2 linked regions of the Oryza sativa Japonica Group genome follow. The protein of the gene in region 1 binds, or shares a complex with, the protein of each later gene. Links are inferred from orthologs where the notes say so. Each region holds a gene or a part of one and is shown on either strand. Other genes may lie near its edges. The genes, in order: DNA-directed RNA polymerase II subunit RPB7 and DNA-directed RNA polymerase II subunit 4.

Evidence for each region.
Region 2: DNA-directed RNA polymerase II subunit RPB7 (region 1) and DNA-directed RNA polymerase II subunit 4 share a complex: the UniProt entries of both Arabidopsis thaliana proteins name them as parts of the RNA polymerase II complex. The link is inferred for Oryza sativa Japonica Group from reciprocal best matches to the Arabidopsis thaliana genes NRPB7 and NRPB4.

Annotation. Positions count from the first base shown.
Region 1 is NC_089039.1:19,589,616-19,593,771, forward strand, and holds DNA-directed RNA polymerase II subunit RPB7, read right to left. Parts: upstream 2,913-4,156; 5' UTR 2,834-2,912; coding exon 2,718-2,833; intron 2,628-2,717; coding exon 2,462-2,627; intron 2,356-2,461; coding exon 2,305-2,355; intron 1,991-2,304; coding exon 1,925-1,990; intron 1,600-1,924; coding exon 1,531-1,599; intron 1,054-1,530; coding exon 988-1,053; 3' UTR 750-987; downstream 1-749. Other genes in the region: protein ABCI12, chloroplastic, read left to right, coding at 1-25; 1-(5-phosphoribosyl)-5-[(5-phosphoribosylamino)methylideneamino] imidazole-4-carboxamide isomerase, chloroplastic, read left to right, coding at 3,274-3,370, 3,470-3,525, 3,815-4,022. UniProt on the Arabidopsis thaliana protein: DNA-dependent RNA polymerase catalyzes the transcription of DNA into RNA using the four ribonucleoside triphosphates as substrates. Component of RNA polymerase II which synthesizes mRNA precursors and many functional non-coding RNAs.
Region 2 is NC_089036.1:900,758-903,682, forward strand, and holds DNA-directed RNA polymerase II subunit 4, read right to left. Parts: upstream 1,588-2,925; 5' UTR 1,498-1,587; coding exon 1,449-1,497; intron 1,372-1,448; coding exon 992-1,371; 3' UTR 704-991; downstream 1-703. Other genes in the region: protein LPA3, read left to right, coding at 2,101-2,402, 2,551-2,581, 2,876-2,925. UniProt on the Arabidopsis thaliana protein: DNA-dependent RNA polymerase catalyzes the transcription of DNA into RNA using the four ribonucleoside triphosphates as substrates. Second largest component of RNA polymerase II which synthesizes mRNA precursors and many functional non-coding RNAs.

The sequences.
Region 1 (4,156 bases):
TTCCATTTCGGACAAATTGGTTTGATGGTATGATAAGGCACCTGTGATCTATTCACCAGTTTGATGTCATGGTAGTGTTGAACTTATTACATATGAGAGTATCTTCTTGATTGTTTCAGGAATCAGGAACTAAAGACTATCACGACAACTTCATCCCCTTAATTGCTTAAAAATGCTGAGTTGCAAAATCAGTTTTTGGGGCATCTTAGGAGCCCCTTCTGTGTAGTGGAATCGTGGAAACGATGGTAACGATTGAATCGTCAGGAAGATCATTTTGGAAGATCATTTTGATCAAGTGTATGCACCGCAAGCCCCTTTGGAAGGAAGACTGAAAGGTTAACCTCTGGCTCTAACTTCTTTGCAGCCTTGCAGGTGAGTTGAGACTTATATATCCAAATAATTTTTGCTCTTTACCAATGTTTTATCTCCTGTCATCTGATTTCTGTTAATACCGCAGGAGCAGTGCCGTATGCAGATCCTTCATTGAAGGACCACGTGAGAATATTGAGTATAACTGCACAATCAAAGTATACTTCCTGTCTTCATTAGGAAGTGCCGTCAAGAACTTAAGTGGGGTGACCGCTGTGTTCTTGCTAACTTATTGTATCTGCCCTTAGCTTGATCCTAACATGAACAACTGACAGTGTAAACCTATCTTTTTTCATTAGCCCTTTCTTTCTCTTTAGTTTTATTTTGCAAGGATGCAGTTCGAAGCATTGAATGTTTAATTGCAAGGATACAGTGCAAAATTGTACAGTCCGTAAAAAGGTCAGAGTTTGATTAGTTAAATGACTGCTTGAAAGTTGAATCCCACAACACACTCAAGCAACAGTGCCAACTTGGTAAAGCGCCATTTATAGTGATGAAAATACAGGTTCCAACCCACTTACAGCCCCTTCCAGTGGGGCTTCCATATTTTAACACTACAATTCATCGGAATATTCCCGTTCAAGAGCATGAAGAGGCGTAATCTTGTCACCGGATAATTTACACTGCCGCACCAGGATCACTGATAACGCCCAGGAAGTCATCTTTTATTGTGCCAATGCAAAACTGCAACAAACATATTCAAACTGTTAGAGCATTGCACATCACCAGCTTAAACGGGGTTATGAGTTATGACAGCAAGAACATGGATTCAGAAATGCCTCAGGGAAGAATATAGCCACATGCATTCAACAATTATCTATTATGATACCATACTAGTGGCTAGCTTATGAGCATTCATGGTAATTACTTGCAATTTGTTGCTACAAGATTACATGTCAAATTTTCATTTTGATATACTTTTCAACTAATTTACTTGACACACATCAAGGTTGATCTTTGCTGATAAAACCACATCTGTTCTTTTTCACACATTAGGAAAGAAAAACATCATGCAAACTACTGGTATGGAAAAGTGGGTTACATCACCAATAATTGCATATGGTGGTTACTCTGAGAGCAATGCTACAAAAATCTAAAAGACAGGGAACACCTGGTTTTTCGTTTGTTTTTTTGCACGAAACTAGATGTCAACAAACTTACAATTTCTGTTGCATCAACACGTGTCCCAATAATCTTCAACCGAACCTCACTATCTTTCTGAATTTTCACCTGCATCGGACAAACAAGTAAATCCTAGTAAGCAAAAGAAGATGGCCAAAGCAATTAGCCTTCAACAGTAGTACAGTATTCACATCTATTCGTTTCTAGGAAAAACAATGAACATATATGTGTATGCATTTCAAGCATAGTTATGACATGCTGATACCAAAATTGGATACAATGGACATTACATTACATTCCCCAGCATTTCTTTTTAAGTCAGACATATCACCAATAAGCATAAATAAACAGGAAAAAAAATCATAACCTGTCAACAGTTGTCAATGTTTATAGAGGACAAGACATAAGAAGTAACTGTAGAAAAGAAGCATACCGATCCATCAGAAGTAGTATAATTTGGCACATCCCCAGATTGGAACTCCATATCATCAGGAATCAACTGCACAACAAAAATAGAAACGGGAAAATGCAAGAACAAAACATTAGTTGGTTAGAAAGCACAAATTCAACTAGAACCTTATGTTGCCTTCCAGTCACTTTAAGATTGTTCAAACCAACATGTTTGATAAATTAGTATCAGAAATTTCTATGACAAAAACCATCCTTCGAGTTGATGGTACAGCTAAACTGGGTGTATGAAAATGGTACTGAACCATTATCGTCTATCGATCATTCTAGCATAAATTCTGATTCTTTTACTCCACAAATTTGGAGCATTAGAAAAAAGCAGCTCCAAGCAATGCAGGCACTCACATGGTTGGACACGAAGATCTGCACAGGCCCAGCCTCCGCGAAGAACCCCATCTGCAGAACCAACACGAAAACGAATTGGAGCCACTAACCACAAACAAGCCCTAATCCACCCAACACCAAATACCAATCCGGCGAGGGACGGAGGCACATCGCCCACCTTGTTGACCATGGTGACGACGGCCTCCAGGATCTCGCCCTTGAAGGGGCGGAAGACGACGCACTGGTACTTGACCGGGAAGGTGACGTAGCCCGTGCCCTCCCTGATGAGCCCCTTGCCGACATCCTCCACCCCCGTGATCGCCACCACGAACCCATGCCGCCCGCTGCAAAAGGACGAACAAGAATGAATCCCGTCGAACCCCACATCCCCTCCCCGCCCTACTAGGGTTTGCCCAACCAATCCCGAGCCCTACCTGCAGGTGCCCTCGACGTCCTTGATGAGCTTGGAGACGAGCTTGTCGCGGAGGTGCGGGCCGAAGTGCCGCGGGTGCAGCTGCATGTTCCGCTCCAGCACGATGTGGAAGAACATCTCGCCCCCTCCTCGTCCGCGCCGCCGGCGAGCGAGCGAGCGAGCGAGCGATTCCTCAACAGTTCGACTCAACTGGCTTGGCTTCTCTCTCGCGAGAGGCAATATTATTAGCCCTGACGAGGCGTTCGAGCCGTCGGATCAACGCCCCTGTGCATATCCTGGCCGTCCAATAAATCTCTTTACCTAGTTCGGCTTGGGCCTCGCACCGACTCCGACTCCGACCCCGACTCCGACTCGCCGCCGCCCTTGCGCCGCCTCCGCGGAGCCCTCCCCTCCCCGCCGGCGGCGGCTGCGAAGGTGCGGCACGTACGCGCTGGTTTCTTCTTCTTCTCTCCGAATCGTGTCCTGGGTTGGGGGGGGGGGGGGCTCCCGCATGCTTGCTTGCTTCTGAATTTGCTTCGCGGGTGTTTGTTTGTTGGTTGTGGCAGCGACTGGATTGGATGGCATCGAGGGTTCCGTCTCCACCGTGCGCGGCGGCGCGGTCCGGTTGGGCTGTCCCGATGGTCTCCGTCCGGCCGGCGAGATCCGGCGTGGCGAGTATGATGTCCCTTTCGATTCGATTCTCTGTATGGCTCGATTTGTTACTGCTTGTCGCGAATTGGGGGAAAAACTGGGATTGCTCGTTTGTTTTGGCAGGAGGACGTGCTGTGGTGTGCGCCGTTATCTTCAGGCCGTGTATCGATATTCATAAGGTCCGTACGAGTGGAACACTTGCTTCCTCTTATGTTTCATGGGTGTTCTGAACATTAACATGATCGTAAATTGATACCCCAACTTTGTAAGCAAAGTACTTTCAGAAGTTTTTTCAGCTTGTATGCTCCAAATTTTCCTGCGATGCGATTCACCTGGAACACCGTGATATTAAAACTAAAGGCTTATGCATTGATTTCTACTGTCATTTTGCAACCATGTGAGTTCAGTTACTTCTGGCATTAACAGTGTCATTTATCTGATGGGCTGTTTCTTAATATAAATTTTCAGGGGAAAGTTAAACAGATTGTTGGCTCTACTCTTCGGGATTCATCAAACGATGGCACGGCACTTGTTACAAATTTTGAATCAGACAAACCTCCAGCAGAATTTGCAAATATATATAAAGAGGATGAACTTATTGGTGGACATGTAATCATGCTTGGTGCAGATCCTGCTAGTCAAGCTGCTGCCATGGAAGCACTACATGCATATCCTGGTGAGAATGTTATCTAGCTGTTACCTGTTAGCATAATTATGTTGTTATTTGGACTAGTTCTTTTGTGAGCAGCTGTCTGTAGTTGTTTGTTCTTTACTGTTATCAATAATAATTATGATATAAAGCCACATTTG
Region 2 (2,925 bases), on another chromosome or scaffold:
AGCTAAGCTCAAGCAACTGAAGCAAGCAAAAAGCTCTCCTCACTATGTCTCGCAAGACTTGAAGCGCCATCATCTGTTTTTACCGTGATCTTGTAGAATATTGTCTTTTGATTGGTTTCAGTAGATATAAGTCAGAAGAAGACGAGTCACTTGTAAGTAACTATGGAGCAGTATATAAGATGCAAGCTTCTTGCCTTTTTCTGTGCTGTGTGCTTGTTATCTTGTACTTGGATGTCAATCTGTCACAGTGAGCTACAAGCAGCTCCACCATGCTGAGGAGGTGTTGAGGCTCAATTCGGATTCCCGGATCACCAGTGCAGTACAGAGTATATGTGTGCCGATGTTCATCACTGATGTGAGATAGAAGAACAAAGTTTTTACGGAAATTCTTACCCCTTTAGTCCTTTTTACTCGTAGCGATTACAGTGGAATCATGTTTGGTCTTCACATGTCAATAAAACTACACAAAAATTAGTACACCATTCAATTGTTGCAAATACGTGGTAAGGTAACCTCTTTTTAAACCAAACAGAACAAAGAAAATCTGGCTGGGTTGTTTCCTGGACAATTTTTTCTTCATCCTGTGCAACGGTTTCAATCAATAACATACTGGTAAAATCCTTTTTTTAAAATCACACATGAATAACTGATAGTAAAATGGAAACATCACTCCCAGAGATCATACATAACAGAAAGACAAACATAAGATAAAAGGAGTGATTATATGAATCAGTACTCCAATTCACCTCCTTTTTCTTTTCAAAAGTCACTAGATAGATATTGACTTAATCTCGGTTTTCATGATCTCACTACATTCCTCCTGAAGGTGATACACTGATACACAGCAGAACTTTGGATCGATTTGATATCGAACAAACCTCAACGAGCATTCAAATCAAATGAGCCCTAATTATGATTCACCTTCTCTCAAGAAGATAACACAGATATTAATTAGACAGTTCACCAGCAAATCTGATAAGCTACAGTCCTACTACTCGAACTTCTTGATAAGGGAGAGGTCGTTGAGCATCTTGTCGATCTTCTCGCTGCCGGGGTCGCCGACGAACCTGCCGCCGGAGCGGAGGGAGGGGACGAGGGCGGAGGCCTCGTCGCTGGTGTCGGGGCAGAGGTTGCCGAGGGTGCAGAGCTCGAACTCGGCGAGGCCGTAGCGGCTCAGCGTCTCCCTCACCTGCCTCACCGCGTCCGGGTTCTTGTACCGGCTGAACCGCTTCACGTACTGCAGCGATTTCTCGAACACCTGCGACACCTGCGACGACGGGTCCCCGTCCGACATGTGCTGGATCTGCTCGTACTTGTGCTCCAGGATTATCGCCACCTCGCAGTTCATCAGGCACTTGGCCTTCAAGAACTCTGCAACCCATCAAACCCTAGGTATCAAATCAAATCAAACCGATACCTCTACTCGATTCCGATTCGGACGGACTCACCTTCCCCGATCTTGAGCTCCGCCGCGTTCTCCTCCTCCTCGCCGGACATCTCGGCGCGCTCTCTCTCCCCTCTCGGTGGCTCACCTCAACCTCGGCGGCTATGGCGTTGGCGATGCGGCTGCGGGCGGAGTCTGGACTCGGGAGGGGAAAAGAAACCAAGGCGGCGAGAGGCGCCTCTTAACGGGCTGGACTCACGATCCGATTCGCTAACAGGCTAGGCCCATTAACGCATTGGGCCGGCTCGATCTGCACGAGCGTGTTCCTTTCGGGGTGATCTGGACCGTCCATCCGTTTACTACTCGACGGCGGCGGCGAGTGGTCGGCGACAAGGACGGCGGGCGTGTCGTCTTCCCCGGCGACGGCGGGGATATGAAGGGGCTCGATTCCCGAGGAGATCAGCATCGGGGGTGTAGCTCATATGGTAGAGCGCTCGCTTCGCATGCGAGAGGCACGGGGTTCGATTCCCCGCACCTCCACCTCACTTCTCTCTTTTTTTTAATTTATTTTTGGTGGATTTATCCGGTGCGGTGGTGCGGGCTCCACGTGGCAGTGAGGCAGGTGGTGGCCTCGAGGCGCCCGCGTGGATTGCAGTGGCGCTGCTCGTCACTTCGTCTCCTCCTCTCCACCACTCGTCGTCGTCGGCGGCGTGGCCATGGCGACACCCGCGCCGCTCTCCGGCCTCCGCCCGCGCGCTCCCGCTCCCGCTCCCGCGGCGCGCAGTCGCCTGTGCGGCCAGTCGCCGCCGGTCGTGGCCCCGCGGCTCGGGGCGTTCCCGCGGCGGCGTGGTGGGGCGGCACGGTGCTCGCCGCGCGCCGAGGCCGGGGACGTGGAGGCGCTTAGGGCGGGGGTGTCGGTGTACAAGCCGCGGTCCTACGACGTGCTCGTCTCCGACGCCGCCCGCTCCCTCGCCTGCGCCATGGACGAGGGCAAGACCCGCCTCGAGATCGAGTTCCCGTACGCCCGCGACCTATTCATTCCCTTTCCTCCATAGATTCGCGCCACCATCTCGCCTAATCTTTTACTTAGTTGGTTATTAATAATGCTTGCATTATCTCATCCTCCTTGTCTCATTTTTTTTTTTGGTGGTGGTGCTTGTGAAAAGGCCTCTGCCGAGCAACATCTCTTCTTACAAGGTATACTTTGCATTTCTATCTCAAGCTCGTCTCATAACTCACACTCATTGTTCTAGTTTCTTGCTTTGTTATGAGTGAATTCTGTAACAATGCAAAGACTAATCTTGATGTATATTATATAGACTGCTCTAGTTTCAGTTTGAATGCTGCTGCTACCTCTGTATAATGTTGTTTCAAAGCAGAATCTCTCTTTTTCCTTGGCTTCAAGTTAAAAAGGGTTTAGCTTTTGTTGCCACATACGTGTGATGAACGCTTGTTTCTAACCATCCTACCCTGCTTTGCTTCGTTTTCAAGGGTTCCTCGGACGAGTTCATCGACGCCAACATCCAGCTTGCTCTTGCTGT